2 linked regions of the Drosophila melanogaster genome follow. The protein of the gene in region 1 purifies or fractionates together with the protein of each later gene. This does not show direct contact. Each region holds a gene or a part of one and is shown in the gene's direction. Other genes may lie near its edges.

The links. Proteins that work in one complex are often made in the same cells at the same time.
Region 2: the proteins of Sec10 (region 1) and Sec5 purify together in Drosophila melanogaster (affinity purification with western blotting, with the first as the bait; one study listed by BioGRID). This does not show direct contact.

The regions. Positions count from the first base shown.
Region 1 is NT_033777.3:24,132,894-24,141,636, forward strand, and holds Sec10 (secretory 10), read left to right. Parts: upstream 1-1,937; 5' UTR 1,938-2,020; coding exon 2,021-2,053; intron 2,054-2,113; coding exon 2,114-3,018; intron 3,019-3,087; coding exon 3,088-3,675; intron 3,676-3,733; coding exon 3,734-3,923; intron 3,924-3,992; coding exon 3,993-4,310; intron 4,311-4,382; coding exon 4,383-4,481; 3' UTR 4,482-4,645; downstream 4,646-8,743. Other genes in the region: Tsc1, read left to right, coding at 1-555, 613-770, 897-1,026, 1,084-1,436; Npc2f (Niemann-Pick type C-2f), read left to right, coding at 5,160-5,307, 6,886-6,993, 7,634-7,803, 7,916-8,002. UniProt on the Drosophila melanogaster protein: Component of the exocyst complex involved in the docking of exocytic vesicles with fusion sites on the plasma membrane.
Region 2 is NT_033779.5:3,455,697-3,462,666, forward strand, and holds Sec5 (secretory 5), read left to right. Parts: upstream 1-1,605; 5' UTR 1,606-1,709; coding exon 1,710-1,818; intron 1,819-1,888; coding exon 1,889-2,503; intron 2,504-2,557; coding exon 2,558-4,379; intron 4,380-4,436; coding exon 4,437-4,575; 3' UTR 4,576-4,671; downstream 4,672-6,970. Other genes in the region: Cog3 (component of oligomeric golgi complex 3), read right to left, coding at 1-7, 61-548, 606-1,118, 1,175-1,339; CG3246 (uncharacterized protein), read right to left, coding at 4,698-5,684, 5,742-6,010, 6,074-6,155. UniProt on the Drosophila melanogaster protein: Component of the exocyst complex involved in the docking of exocytic vesicles with fusion sites on the plasma membrane.

The DNA.
Region 1 (8,743 bases):
ACCGTCGATCCATTCACGCAGAGCGCAATCGACGACTCATGGGGCGAAGCAGGGACAAGCGCAGCCTGGAAATGGAGCGGGATCGGTTAAGGGAGCAGCTTAAGAACTTCGATGCGAAGAACAAGGATCTGGCAAACAAAATGGATCAGGCCATTCGGTTGGCCAACGAGCGCCAGAACATCCACCAGGAGGAGCTGGGCGAAATGAGGGCTAAGTACCAGCACGAACTGGAGGAAAAGAAGTGCCTGCGGCAGGCAAACGATGACCTGCAGACGCGACTCACCAGCGAGTTGGCGCGCCACAAGGAGATGAACTATGAACTGGAGTCTCTGCGAGGTCAGGTCTTCAGTTTGGGAACCGAGCTTCAACACACCCAGCAGCAGGCGGACATTGGGCTGCAGTGCAAGCAGGAGCTGGCACGACTGGAGGCCGAGTTTATTATCATGGGTGAGGTGCAAGTGCGTTGCCGCGACCGTCTGGCTGAGATCGATAACTTCAGGGCCCGCGACGAGGAACTGCAGATGCTACAAGAGAGCAGCAACCTGGAACTGAAGGGTGCCTATTCATTGTTTATATGATACGGATGTTTAATCATTCAGTTTATTTATTAAGATCTGAGGCACAGCCTGGACGAGAAGACATCACAGCTGGAAAGCATGAAGCACAAGATCAGCGACCTGCAGGCCCAGCTAGCCAACAGCGAGAAGGCCATGACGGAGCAAAAGCGACTTCTAAGCACCGTCAAGGATGAGTACGAAGAAAAGTTTAAGGTAGGGCTGATATTTAAAATCGTATACTTATCTGAAATAGTTCGGACTTTTAAGAAATAGTCTGTGTTTACCAGTAACTTCATTTCAATTAAGAGTAATAAGCCTTAAAAATCGTCGTCCTTGCAGTCCGTGAACAAGAAGTATGACGTGCAAAAGAAGATAATTATGCAGATGGAGGAGAAGCTGATGATGATGATGCAGCAGCCGCAAGGAACAACAGGTCATAACACCTGTTCCCCGGACACGGACAGAACTGGTGAGTGCAAGAGCTGCTTCGCAGCTAAAGAATACTTACTATTGCATTCTCCCACAGACATAGCTTCATCCATTGAACGCAACTCACCGCTATCCACGTCGCTGGCCTCGAGCGAGAGCTTATCCGCCAGCCTACGCTCCACGGAGCTGAAGAACCTGCACCAGCTAGTGGACACGCCCACTATTCCGGATGTGCTGAACAGCATGGCCGGTGGCGCTCAGTTCGAGGACGAAGTGCGTCCGCCGGCCGTGGATCTGGCCTCCTCGGCAAGCACCGCCAGTGCCATCAACATCGTGCCGCACGCCTTGGACTTGCCGTCGACCTCCGGCGGCATCGGTCACACGCTCACCCACCCACATCCGCATCCGCACCTGCACCTGCAGCAACAGCAACAGGATCAACTGCAGTAGTAGCAGCAGACGCAGTTTGTAAAAACAAATAAGAACTAGCTTTCCTTCGCTAAACAAATGTCTATTGGGAAAACCCGCACAGAAAATTTACAAAAAAAAGTTATTGGTTCTTCATATTTTCATATTCAGTTCAAAACTGTAACTAAGGTTTAATAAATCGCTGACTCCACGCAATAATTATAAAGGTTATAAAAAATATTAATGTTTGAAATTTTAACTTGTTTAGCACATTGCAATTTGTTGTAAAAAAGTGGTTTTGATACGAGGCAATAAGTAAGACGCGCATTCATATTATAATAAACATTTGATTAAGATCAGCAAACATAAAAGCATTGTTTTATTTTATTTAATTGTAAACATACTATTTGTTATATAACAACCGCCAAACATTTAAATTTTAGCTAAGAGAGCAAACAAAAACGTAAACAAACCGAGCGACATTGCCAGCTGAAAGAAAGTGAGAAGTGTGGCAACCTTAAACGAAACAGCTGAGCGGAAGCAACAATAATATAGAAAGAAGAAGCAGAAAAGAAACGCCTATTAAATCAGATCATTTAAATACGAAAACTTAATAATACATTAAAATGCTATCCCAATACATGGAGGAGTTTGAACAGGTGGGCTCAAAGGTCACGTAGGCCCGATTATGGCTTATATTTATTAATCATAACCAACAGGAACCCTTTGAGGTGGGCGAGTTCATAGAGCGTCTGACTTGGCGCACCAACAATGAACTCCAGAACAGCGAGGACTTTCATCCTGTGGCCCTCCACGATACCTTCATCCAGACCATTAAGGACCTAAAGATCCTGCAGGAGAAGCAACAAAGCAAGTGCGAACGGCTAGAGGAGTCACTGCGCCAGGAGAAGGAGTCGCACGCCAAAAAGATTGCCAAGCTCCAAGAACGCCACCAAACGGCCATTGATGTGTTCGGCCAGCTGGACGAAAAAATCAATTCGGTGGCCGGCAAGATCATGCACCTGGGCGAACAGTTGGAGAATGTGAACACTCCACGCAGTCGTTCAGTGGAGGCCCAGAAGTTACTCAATTTTATGTCCGAGTTTTTAGCCGCTGGCCCTGTGATTGTCAACGATATTTTTGCGGATGCCGCAAGATTAAGTGAGGCCGCAGATGTGATACAAAAGCTCTACGCTATCTCGCAGGATCTGCCGCCCGGAAACTTTGCGGAATCCAAAAGAAAAATCGAAAAGAAATACGATGAAGTCGAGCGGCGGTTGATCGAAGAGTTTGCCACCGCCCAGAAGAGCGAGGACATCGAGCGCATGAAGACACTGGCCCAGATCTTGTCCCAGTTCAAGGGTTACACTCAGTGTGTAGACGCATACATCGAGCAGAGCCAAATGCAACCGTACAGTGGCAAAGACATATTTATAGGCATTGTACCGCTATGCAAGCATCACTACGAGATAATCCAGAAGGTGTTTGCCAATCCGCAGCAGGTTATGTCCAAGTTCATACTTAACATATATCAACTGAAGCTTCACCAGTACGCCATGACTAAGTTGGAGGACAAAAAAGACGAGGAGAAATATCTTCGCACCCTTTATGAGTTATACTCGCGGTGAGTCATTCAGAAGTTACGTTAAATGTCAAAATTTGCGATTACTTTCATTTCACAACCACTTTGCAGCACACTAAAATTGTCAACAGATCTTCAAATCTACATGTCCACGATCGACGACGACTTGTTACAGAAGCTGACACAGCAGATTTTTATAAAGCATTTGGCCGGCTACGCCGAAATGGAGACCAAATGCCTCACAGCCAAGTGTTCCACAGAGCTGGAAAAGTTCTATGCCAGCAAGAAACACCAAAAGACTGCAACTACTAAGGGCTTTCGGAGAAACATGGAGGTGCTGATAGCCACGCGGGCTAACATAAATATTGCTGCCATCGAGGACTATGGCGGGGAGACGTTCCTATCCGAAGAGTTGGCCATCAACATGCTGCAGGAGGCCAAGGCGTCGCTTAAGCGCTGTCGCCTGCTGTCCAACGAGACCGAACTACCAGGCAATGCTATAAAGCTAAACGATATCCTTCTTCGTTTCTTGATGCACGAGCACGTAGATTACGCACTGGAGTTGGGACTGCAAGCAGTGCCACTGGCCGAGGGCAGGGTCTTTCCCCAGCTCTACTTCTTTGATGTGGTGCAAAAGACGAACATCATTGTCCATCTACTGGACAAGCTGTGCCACACATCTGTCATACCCTGTGTGAGGTATGTTAGGACTTTGTTAATTTACATTTTATAGAATGTATAATGTATTCTTTTCTAGTAATACACCCAAGTACTCGGACTATGTGTTCAAAAAACGTATTCTGATGGAGCAAATCGAGACAAAGCTGGACCAGGGTCTTGATCGCTCTATTAGCGCTGTTATTGGCTGGGTCAAGGTATATTTGCAATATGAACAAAAGAAAACGGACTACAAGCCGGAAACAGATGTGGATACAATATCTTCAGCGGTAAGATATAAATTTAGTAAAATCGAGCTTATCTGTCTATCCTTAAAAATGTTTATTTTTCTTTTCTAGGCCTGCTTACAAGTCGTTCAGAATCTGCAGCCCGTGATTGTGCAGATTAAAAAATGTGTTGATGGAGAGAATTTGCAGAATGTTCTTACAGAATTTGGAACTCGGTTGCACCGAGTAATCTACGATCACCTGCAGACCATGCAGTTCAACACGGCTGGCGCCATGTGTGCCATCTGCGACGTGAACGAGTATCGCAAGTGCATTCGCGAGCTGGATAGTCCACTGGTCACGCAGCTGTTTGACATACTGCATGCATTGTGCAATTTACTACTTGTTAAGCCCCAAAACCTTCAAGAAGTTTGCACGGGTGACACTCTGGTAAGTGTGCGGTGCCTTTGATGTCGAGCGATAGTCTTACGTTACCATCTGTATCCACCCCACTCTATTTAGAATTATCTGGACAAGTCGGTGGTGCGGCAATTCATTCAGCTGCGCACTGATTTCAGGATCATCAAGAACACCAACTATCTGAAGGGTATTATTGAGTGAGGAGTTCGACGTCCAGAATGATTCACATTCCAAAATTTTCCACCTTCGCTGTCTACGGATTAAATTGATTTATTAAAGGGGACATTATCTAATGATGTTTAATTATGGCTTGCCATGTTCTTTAACTTTCAATTAAAGTCAAGTGGCTGGTTACTTTTATCAATACATCGCCCGCGTTACTTGATTTACTTTCGTGTATTTATAGGCGCGACTCACACGCGTGCCCGCCGCCCAACCACCCACTCTCAGACCCACACACGCCTCCAGCTACGTCACGGACTTCCCGTTTGGAAATCTTCAAAGAGATTCGCTGACCTTATCAGTTGGAGCTGAAGCGAAAGTCAGCGTTATTTGCTCCCATCGGCTTCCAGTCAATAAATCAAAGTTTATTGCCTAGGCGTCCGCGAATTATTTATTTATTTACGTTTGCCCGGAGAGTGCCAGCACTCCAATCGAAGAGAGGCCGGCTACTTTTGTTGGTACCCACTATTCTTGGTGTCAGTCACCTAATAGCCACCAAGCAAATCGTATCGCCAAAAAAAAACGTTGCCAGCCCGTGATCCTGATTAACGAACTGCTTTGTTATTGTTATTAACATTTCTTATTTGCACACCTACGCAAAATTCGTTTGGACGATATTCTAATCAAACCGCGATCAAGATCTCAGTCGATTAAACCATGCGCGGCGCCCTAATGGATTACTATCTAAAAATACTCTTGGTTATTTGCGCTGCCCACGAATTGGCCGGCGGAACGATCAAGTCTACCAGAGATGCTGTTTACAAAAAATATCTGTCCCTAAGATCTTTGCCCTTCGAGGATTGCGGTAAGTATATCTCAGGATCAGTGCTTTTCGGTGGGTCGATTCAGACAACGTATAAAATCAATTGATTTCCACAGGGGAAAAAAACGGTAAGAAAATATCTCGAGCAGTTTTCTTATACACCATGGCTTTGTTAAGGTATGCATTCGAAAAGAAACCTCAAAAGCTTTATATTCGAAAAAATATTAGAATTAGAAATCATTCTACTAAAATATTATCTTCCGGTGGAAAATCGACCTACCGAATAATACTATAATAATACAATAATAAGGAATTACTTCCGCAACACCCATTTTCGGGAATTTTAATGGATCCAATATTGTGCACTGTAATTCAGATTATATCGCTGCCAAGTATATTGTAAATTTCACAGGGCGCAATCTGACAAAAGAGAAAACGATATAACAGAGTTCCTCGACCATCAGATACCCCTTAGTCACCTTAAGGCAGTCCGAGCAAAGGATTGAATCTTGCAATCTTGCAATTCAATCAATTTCGAGATTAAATATAAATTTATGGTTATAGGATTTTAAGAACTACGTATGGAAATATCAAAAAACGAATATAGTATACCCTATTACTCTATGAGTAACGAATATATATAATAGTCATAAAGAGTAATTCCCCGATAGTAGCGCCTTTAACTTCACTTTATACTTGTGACATGATAAATCTAATTTATGATACATTACCATAATCGAAAAATACTATCAGAGCTTAATTTGAAAGTGGGTAAGATCTGTGGGCGTAATAAACGTGATATTCCAATGACATCAACAAAAAACCCGAATATAGTTACTTGTTTTCAATTTTTCATTATCAACAGAATATAAAATTAGATTGACGCTGTTCATTTTGCAGTCAAGGAAAAAGAAATCCTATTTTTAACTACTTTTAATTACCCAGCTTAGTTGATTTTAGGGCATCAAACCTTCGTTAACTAGTTTTGGTTGCCCAAAACACGAGCTATTAATTGTATTCTGGTTTTTACGATGTCTGATTAAATGGAGTATTTATGGACTGTGCACAGTAAATACATGATTTATGTTCTAGATTTGAGGAACTGTAAACAAACAGATATGACGCCCTTATGGGGGATTACCTTATGACGCTGATAGACAGGCGAACGCCCACTTTGGGGGGGCAGTAATCAATGAGCAGCCAAGTTAATTGAGTGTTGTAATCTAATGCTGAACGCGGTTCATTTTTTGAAGATAGAAACTTTTTAACGGCCTTGGGAAGTGCACTTGGTCATAGATTATTTAGAAATGCGTATATAGTATGTATAGGCGATCGCCTGTGTGGATCGCAGATAATTCGGCTTAGTTGCTGAGAGTAAAGTTTTTTACTTTGTTGCCAGGTGTTAATTATATGGTTGAATGGCATGTACTATGTCACGTAACCAAATCCATTCAGGATAGAATGCCCAACCTTACCTACTCTATGGATCGTATCCTTATTATGTTTAAAGGAATAACTACGAACTATTTTAGCATGTTGTTAGCATAAGATCTAAAGCTAAAAGATCCATATCTTCTGGTTTTATGTGCCTTTTAAATCTGTTTCCATTGCCTCTTTTAGGTTCTTTGTACCAGGTCAGCTACCTGGACATCGAGAGCTGTACGACACTGCCCTGCTCCATGGCCCGGAACGCGACAATTAAGGTTACTGTGCGCTTCGATGATAATGGTATGTAGGTGCTCCGCTGATAACAGCAGATCCGTGCATTCGGAATTGGGATTTCTCAGAGCAACGTACACTCGACTCGCGTTCTGAGCAAAAGTCAGTCGGAAATAAAAATAGATGTGGTGCGGGCGAAGAACTTCGATCAGGTGAATGGCGGATGTTCGGGTGGGGCAAGGTGTTTTGGAACCCCCTGAATTCCCTGAATATGCATGGTCAAATGATGGTGGCAATAATGATAAGCTGGTGAAGATTGTATATCTACAAAAACTCACCGAATTTCCTGCTGCTACTACTACTACTGTTTATGTTCAATGCATTTCGATTGCAACCTAGGCTCAGCCCCACAGTCGATCCATAAATAATAAATTAAACGCCTAATGGTATTTTGATGAATCAGCAGAAATGGAGACGAAATCGAAACGATTGATCTCAGCACGAATCGAACATTTGGAGTACTAATTTGCGATAGGGGGCTGAAACGAAGATTGGCCAAAAATTCGATTAAAGAGAGCATGCAAAACATGTTCAGATAATTGGATTAGAGTTTCAGCTTTGATAAAAAACGTACAGCCAAGCCAAAATGATAGTAATAGTATAATTGTTTTATGTTATAGTAAAACTTATTATTTTATCCCATTAACAGGCAATGGCGTCAGCTTTCTGAAGCACGAAGTCCGATGGGTGTTTAACTACATCAAGACCCAGGCGGCCATAACTCCCGATCCCTGCGACGGAGATCACGGATGCATAGAGAGCGCAAGTGGTGGAAAGGCCTATTGGGCCAATATCTTTGTGAACGAAACTTTGCCGGTGGTAAGTAAAGAACCCTTACAATAAACTCTACAAATCACCATTAATATTCATTCGTACATATTCTTAATTATATATTTTATATATATATAATATATTTCTCTCTGTGTTCCAGATGAAAGGTAGCATGTTGTGGGAATCCAAGGATGCGAACGATCAGAACCTAATCTGTTTCCAGGTTCCCGTTGTAATCACAGTGTAAATGTGTAATCACGAAAATAAAGTAATTGGTGCATGCAAATCAACAGACCAGTGCGTTTGTGTGTGTGTGTGGGGGAGGGGAGGTGTGCATGTGTGCATCCTTTAATGAAATTTTGAATGAAAACAAAGGGGCGCGGCATCGTAGTAGTAGAAAGGGAGAGCGAGCGAGACGGGAGGTGGAGATCTCCGTTTTGGCACGGCACACACGGTGAGTGGGAGCGGGAGCAAGTGGAGCACGGCACAGTGGTACAAATCGCTGATATAGCACTTAAACAGTCGAGTATAAACAATACTATTTAAATATAACAGAAATATATGTTTATAACTTAAAATAGTTATGTAACAAACTATTATATGCTGTGTGATTATTTTGAATATTTTATAATTAATATTATGTTCGAAAAATCCACCACCTTGCCCACTGTGGCGAGAGAGCGGCGGGAGAACGGGAGCATTGGAGCTCGAGCCCTGCAGTCCGAGTCCGTGGCGTTCAGTGTGTCACTCTCTCTTGGGGGCTGCAGCGCAACGGTCGCACGAAAAGAGCTCCCACTTGAGATTTAGATTCAGATTCTGATTCGGATTGAGATTCGGTTTCGGTTTTGTTACTTAAGATCAACAGTTCCCAGGAGCGGAAATCGGAACAGTGCGGCGAATTAAAGATTAAAGTGGCAACAAGCGATCAAAGAAGGCGCTCCGACTGCGTGGGAGTACGAGATCACGGATCACGAGGCGTGGAGCCAGT
Region 2 (6,970 bases), on another chromosome or scaffold:
ATAAACCCTGTGGGAAAAATGAGATCAATCCTATTTTCCAACTAGATGTACGAGTATTACGTCAGGTGTGGCGCTCCTGTGCTGAAGAACTGGTAGAACAAACGCTGTTCGTCCTGGCAAACATGCACCAAAAAGGCGCAGGCGCTTCGGGTGAGAGAGCAGTGATCCCCTTTGTGGGCCACCTTAACGTTTTGTATGGACAGATTCACTGCTGGCGACATAACGCTGGCTCTTTGCGCCAAGTAGTGCTGTTGAAGATCCGCCATTAGTTGGGCGTAGTCGAGGCTGTGTTCCGACCGGGACTCAATCAACTGGGCGACCCGCTTCACTTTTGCCGCGGCCGTTTGATATTTGCCGTAGTACAGAGCGAATGCGGCATCTGGTGCCTTGAGAGCAGCGGAGGCATCCGGCATATTGTTCTTGGGATGGAGCGTGGCCTCGGTTGCCTGGTTTATCACACTCGTCACATAGTTACGCACCAGACCCGAGGCTTTGGCCAGGCACTGCCTGTACTTCACATTGTAGGCGGCCGCATCCTTGAATTTGGGCTGTGACAATGAAGGATATTAGTATATACATGACCGAAGTGTAACAGACAAGCTCACATTCTCCTCGATGTAGTTTAGGCATTCGTCGATCTTGTTGAGGCACTCCCGGAACGCTTCGCTAGCCACCGAAAGCGTGGGGCTCTGAAGTCGTTGGTTGAGCAACTCCACCTGGCTGAAGTAGTGCAGACGGCGTTGAATCTCGTGACTCAGCTCCTGCAGTCGCTCCTGCTCCTCGATCAACTGCTCGCTGGCCGTGTTCAGAGCGCTGGTCTTTTGCGACACAAAGTCGTACTCGTCGCAGAGGGCACCCAGGCGCTCCATGGCCCCAGCGATCTGGTCCAGCATGTGGGAGCACTCCGCTTTGCGCTGCTCCAGCTGCTGCAGGTATTTGTGGTAGTCGGCATCGCCACGTTGCTCGATCTCGGCGCTGACGTCCGCGAACCAAAGCAGAAACTCATTGGTGTTCTGGAGTCCCTCCGCAGGTAGTCTGATGTCATCGCCGCTTTGCGAAGTTGCAGCTGCCGATGAATCGGTAGGACCCACCTGGGTGGGCGTAGTCGGTGCCGGTGCCTACAAAGAGTCGGGTTGCAATTATACGATTGCCATTCGAGGAGGAGTCGACTCACCGATGGTCCGCTGTCGCGCCACAGATTGGTCAGGACGTCCAGGTGCTCCTCTTGCTGGATACTCAGAGCCGCCAGCGGGTCCGTTTTGGACTCCCATTGCATCAGGCGATTGCGAATCTTGCGCAAATTCTCATTCTCGCTCTGAATTCGTTCGACGTCATCCATTTTTCTGCGGCGGATTTGGAAACAATCAATCAGCTGTTCAGAGATGACCGGTCTGCGCCTTCCAGTGCTGCTCAGCAAGGAGACTTAGCTAGAACTAAAACTCTTGATTGATATAAGTTGCCTTTATTTGAATGGTATCATATGTTAAGTAATCTTTAATTTTAGATTTAATACATTTTAAGCTCTTTTTATGCTCGTCCGTTTCTTACATAAGTTTTATATTAAATATCTGTCTGTTTAGCTTGGCGATTACTTAGCCAAGATTTCACCACTGACGGGACGTTTTCCATCACTGGCAGCATCAATAAAGTTCTGTTCTCTATTGTTTTTATTGCATTTTGATCAGTTTTTCCGCATCATATAGCATACGATGGCGCCGCAGCCAGTGGTTACGGGGCTATCTCCGAAGGAGGGTCCTCCTGGCACCCGCGTTATCATTCGCGGCGAGTTCCTGGGCACCCGAGTGCAAGATCTAATTGGTAGGCGTAGCCTGTCCCAAATAGCTTCTGTTTTCTGATGACTTTCCCTTCCAAAAAAAAAAAATGTAAGGTCTAAAAATCTGCGGTTCAGATTGTCTGCTGTCGGCGGAGTGGAAATCACCCAATAAAATCATCGCACGCACTGGTCCGGCGAAGGGAAAAGGCGATATCATAGTGACCACTTTAAGCGGCGGAGTGGGCACGTCCACGGTTCAGTTTCGTGCATACCACGAGACCATTGGCCCGCTCAAGGAGTCCGCCGTGTGGATCGAGGAGTCGCCCTCGCAGAATTTTGCCTGGGGTCGGCGCACCCTAGCCCAATCCGGACTGACGCAGGAGGATCCACTTGGGCTGTCCATCGAGGGTAACGAGCAGAAGATCCCCGAGGACCTCCGCGATCTCTTTCCCGAAGCCTGCGGGGATCTGTCGCAGGAGCACTTCTCCCCGGCCTGGTTCCTGCTTGAAAATCACCTGGCCACCTCCTTCGAGGATCTCAAGGCGGGCCTGTCCTACTTGAAGCGGAAAGTGGAGAGCCAGAAGGAAGGTCAGTTGTCCTTCCTCAAGTCCAATGCAGGCTCGGTGATTGACCAGCTCGATACGCTGATGAACATCCGAGACAAGCTGCAGGAGGATGTCAAGCTACACGGCAATGAGACCCTAAATATCTTGGAAACATCCATAGAGAGTGAGTGGGGTTTATAGATTAAGATATTTAATTCTAAAATTGTTCGACTTATAGACTCCATTAGCGAATCGCAAAAGATATTCACGGATGTGCTGGTGCGCAAAGAGAAGGCGGATTCCACGCGGTCCGTTCTGTTCGCCCTGTCGCGGCACAAGTTCCTCTTCTGTCTGCCCAATTCGGTGGACAGACGTGCCAAGGCGGGTGAATATGACATTGTGGTTAACGACTACTCGCGCGCCAAGAACCTCTTTGGCAAGACGGAGATTCCCATTTTCCGCAAGGTGCTCGAGGAGGTCGACCACAGGATTCTGTCAATAAGGAAACAACTGCACGAGAAGGTGGTCAAGATGCCACAGAGCGTGGAGCAACAGAAGAAGCTCATCAAGGCGCTGATCAGTCTGGAACTGCAGCAGAGCGGAACTCCCATTGGCGATAAACTGCGCAACATCGATCCCGCCTGGGATGCCATCGAGGCCAGAGCCAAATATCTGGAGTGGACATTTCGCCAGACATTTGATCAGCACACCAGCAAGGATTCGGGTGCCCAGGAAAAGGCAAAGAACAGGGATTCCAGCCAGGCGCCCAATCGGGTTAACTTCTGCGAAGAACTGTGCGACATTGCCGCCTCCCAGCTGCCGGACTTGTGGCGTCTGGGCCAGCTATACTTCACCGGCGAGCTACGCGGACCTCATGATCCCAAGCCAGGGGATTTCAAGCGAATGGTTTTGAACGCCATCGAGAAGTTCTGTGTCTACTTGAGGTTGGCCATTCTCATTGCCACGGATCAGCGCGCCCTGCGTCAGTCCAGCGGCTTGGCTTGGCCCATCGGCTCCGCATCGGCAACACATCAGTTTCTACCCTGGATTCCGCAGTGCCTGCGTTTCACGAGGATAGCCTATGCCACGCTCATCAGCCTGGATCTGCCCTCGGAAGCGCTGGACATCATACAGAAACTGATCGATGAGGTGCGACTTTTCTGCTTCTCAATTATCTTCAAACGGGCCACGGATCGGTGCAAAAAGCTGGGCAGCCAGGAGACCTGGGAACTGGGCGTGGAGGAATATCCAGGTGCCACATTGTTACCCGCCGCCTTGGAAACATTGCTCATCGAAACGCTGGACGAGGTGCAATCTGTGTGCATGCAAAGGGAGACCCGGGAGGGCAATCTCCTCGAGCCGCAGTCGGATGGACAGAGAGAGGTGACACAGCGACTACAAGAATTCCTATCCGCGTTTAGCGCGGTGATCGAGGAGCTGGCCTTCCACTCCCACGACGAGGAGACGCCCACCCACAATGTGTCGCAGCTACTTGGATTCCCCAATGCCCAGCAGCCAGATTCGGTGGCTGGAAGCGGCGGAGCAGCGGCTGTGACCTGGGAGCAGCGCATGCTCTGTTGCCTGGCCAACTATGCGTACTGCAACAAGATCTTCTTCCCGCGCCTTGGTGACATCTTCGTTCGCTACGGTTACCCGCTGCCCACGCTGGCAATCGAAACTGCTCGCTACACGGTTAACCAGCTCTTTACCAATCTTCTGGAGGAGTACGTCGAGCATAAGGGCGATCCGCTGGTCGGCACCATCGAGCCCTCCATGTATCTGGGTCGTTTCCAGTGGGATCACGAGATGGAGATCGGCCAGCTGCGTCCTTACGCTCACGAGTGCTGCGATAATTTGGTTGGTGTCTACTCCGAGATCTACAGCATTTCACCGGCACTGCTGCGACCCATCCTGGAGTCCATTGTGCAAACCATATCCGAAGAGCTGGCCCGTCTGATGAGCTGTGTCCAGCGCTTTAGCTTCACGGGAGCGATTCAGGCCCACGTGGATATCCGTCTATTGAGGGACTCCCTGGAAGGTTACGTCAATGAGACTGCCAAGTGAGTGATCTAAATGAAATACCTATGAATTTCAATAATTCTTCTAATCTGCAAAAGGAACTACTTCATGGAAGCGCTGGAGGCCATCAATCCGCCCCTGAGTGGCGAGCAGAAGCGTAAGGCGGACGAGATTCTGGAGCGGGTCAAGCGGAACATGCGTCTGCAGCTGCTCTGCTTCAGTGTCAAGGACCCCTAGGCACATTCCACTGCAGGGCGCAGCCCATGTAGATAGCGTATACTTTAAGTAGCTTGTGATTACCCATGTTCTAGGGATAAATCTTTATTCGATTGCATAACTCTCTTACTTACTACCACGACTCACAAGCCCAACAGCTTTGGGTCAAAGTTGAAGTTGTTCTGAGCCATGGTCTTGATGACCTGCTCCACATCGATGGTGTTGAACTTCTCCTGCACACGCTGCTTGATGGGGTTCTCGATGGCGTCCATGATCTGGTAGCGCAGCAGGTTGGGAATGACGTTCACCGCAAACTCCATGACGTAGTCCAGCGTTCCCGCTCCGTCACATCGCACCTGTATGTTGCCCATGTCAAACTGCAGATCGGTGATCTGCGCCCGCTTGCGTGTGTCCAGGGATTGGCTCAGGCCAACGGTGGCGCGTATGTGCTGAACCGTAAATTGTACGTGACCGACGCGTGTCATCATGCCCACACCCACCTCCCACTGGCCGGCTCCCGTCACCTGCTGGGTGCCTATTTGCAGAACGACCGACACCGTTTTGTTGGCCATGCCAGCGGTTATGTTGCCCACGCGGTAGAAGCTAGAGATTCCATTGATCCAGGTGTGTGCTAACTGGACACTGAACACGCCCATGGTGCGATTGACATCAGGCAGGTGGTACGGATCGAAGCCCTTCTGCCGAACCATCTTGCGTGCCATGGCAATGGCGCTGTCCAGCGGCGTTATGGAATTGGGCAGTCGGCGTTCGCCCAAGGTTTTCTGGATCATTACGTTGATCTCGCTGCGCAGCTTTTTGTCCGCCTCCTGGAGCATAAATGGCTTCATGGCGTCGAAGACCAAGTTGGGCGCACCGTTCACCACGCTCTGAAAGACACTGCCCACCAGGCCGAGGTTCTGGAAGTCCATTGTCATGTCCGAGAATGTGATGTCGATCTTGATGCGGTCCGTGGCCAGCTGACCGTCTCGTTCGACGGCCAAGAAGGCGGTTGCCTCGGCATAGACATTCTTCAGGACTACTGTAAAGGGTCCATTGGCTTTCGAAAAGAATGAACTGAGGGTGTACTGGCCCTTGACCAGCATCTGGTCCAGCTGGAGGCCACCGTTGAACTGCAGGACAGAGGAGTGGAAACTTCAAGCCAATTCGAATTCAACTTGAAAACTTACTCTCATTTCCTTCAGGTCTAGGTTCATTTTATCAATGCGGAACTTGGACAAGCCATACGCCTTGACCTGCTTCATGTCCAGATTGGCCATGCCCATGCTCTTCTTCACATTGGGCACCTCCAACGGATCGGGCACGGGCACGCCGGGCAGACCCTGCGGATCCTCCTGCTGAAAGTGCACGAGCATGGCCTCCACCTGGGCGGCTATGCTGGCCTGACTCTCTTTGATCTTAAGTGCGTCATCCGACTCGCTGGCTTCCTGCTCCACAGCTGCTCAAAGGTCATTAATGAGTGGCTTAGTTCCGGTAGAGCTCAGACTGGAATTCGTCTTACCATCGCCAGGCTCCTGGGAGTGAACAATGTGGCAGCCACTTGCCATCAGGCCCACGAGCACGACCACTATCAACGGCTTCATCTTTCGGGGATTAGCTGGAGCTTCTGCTTATCAGTTGGAAAATGGAAGAAAACGCGCCAGCCTCCGTTCTCTACTCGGAACAAACACGCACTGTCGACTGGCGCGTTAATCAAAAGATAATGATGAGCCGCAGGCGGCGATCCGCTTATCTAAGGGCGACTCTGCTCGCGGAGCTGCTGATTAAACTCGGAATTGAGATTGAGTGACTTAAGTGAGCGGAAGCGGCCAGCACATTGTAGGCACTCATGGAACTCACTCCACTCCCAGGAACGATGTTCTAGAAATCATGAACTAGCAGCTTGCATGAGGCAAAGAGTGTTACGGTTCGAAAACGGTTTTGAAACCCAAAGAAAATCGCGCATTTTTCTGTAGTAGCAATGCTCATTTTTATTTGAATATTTTAATAGTTATATGTTCGCATATATAATATGGGTATATATGGCTTACTTGAATTGTTGTTCTTAATCCTAGGTTCACGTGCTCAAAAAAATTCATGCTCAAAAAAAGTCTTAGCCTATTCAAAAAAATGTCTTAGCCTATTAAAAAAAAAGGTTTTTTTTAGCTCACAGCATCCACATTTTGGGCAAAGCAATCTATAATTCGCTGTTCGTTGAACGAAAATAATCTTTAGTTTTGACTAATGCTTTACTCTTAAATAGATTATCTTTGCTGCAGCTGCAGAATTGCTTTAAATAGTTATGTATACGACTTTTGGCTTAATACGTATTAAAAAAAAATTGAGTTTTGGAAACGTTTGCTGGATGATTACAAAAATCAGATTGTAGAATGCTCCTAAAAGATATTTGGGAGTTGAT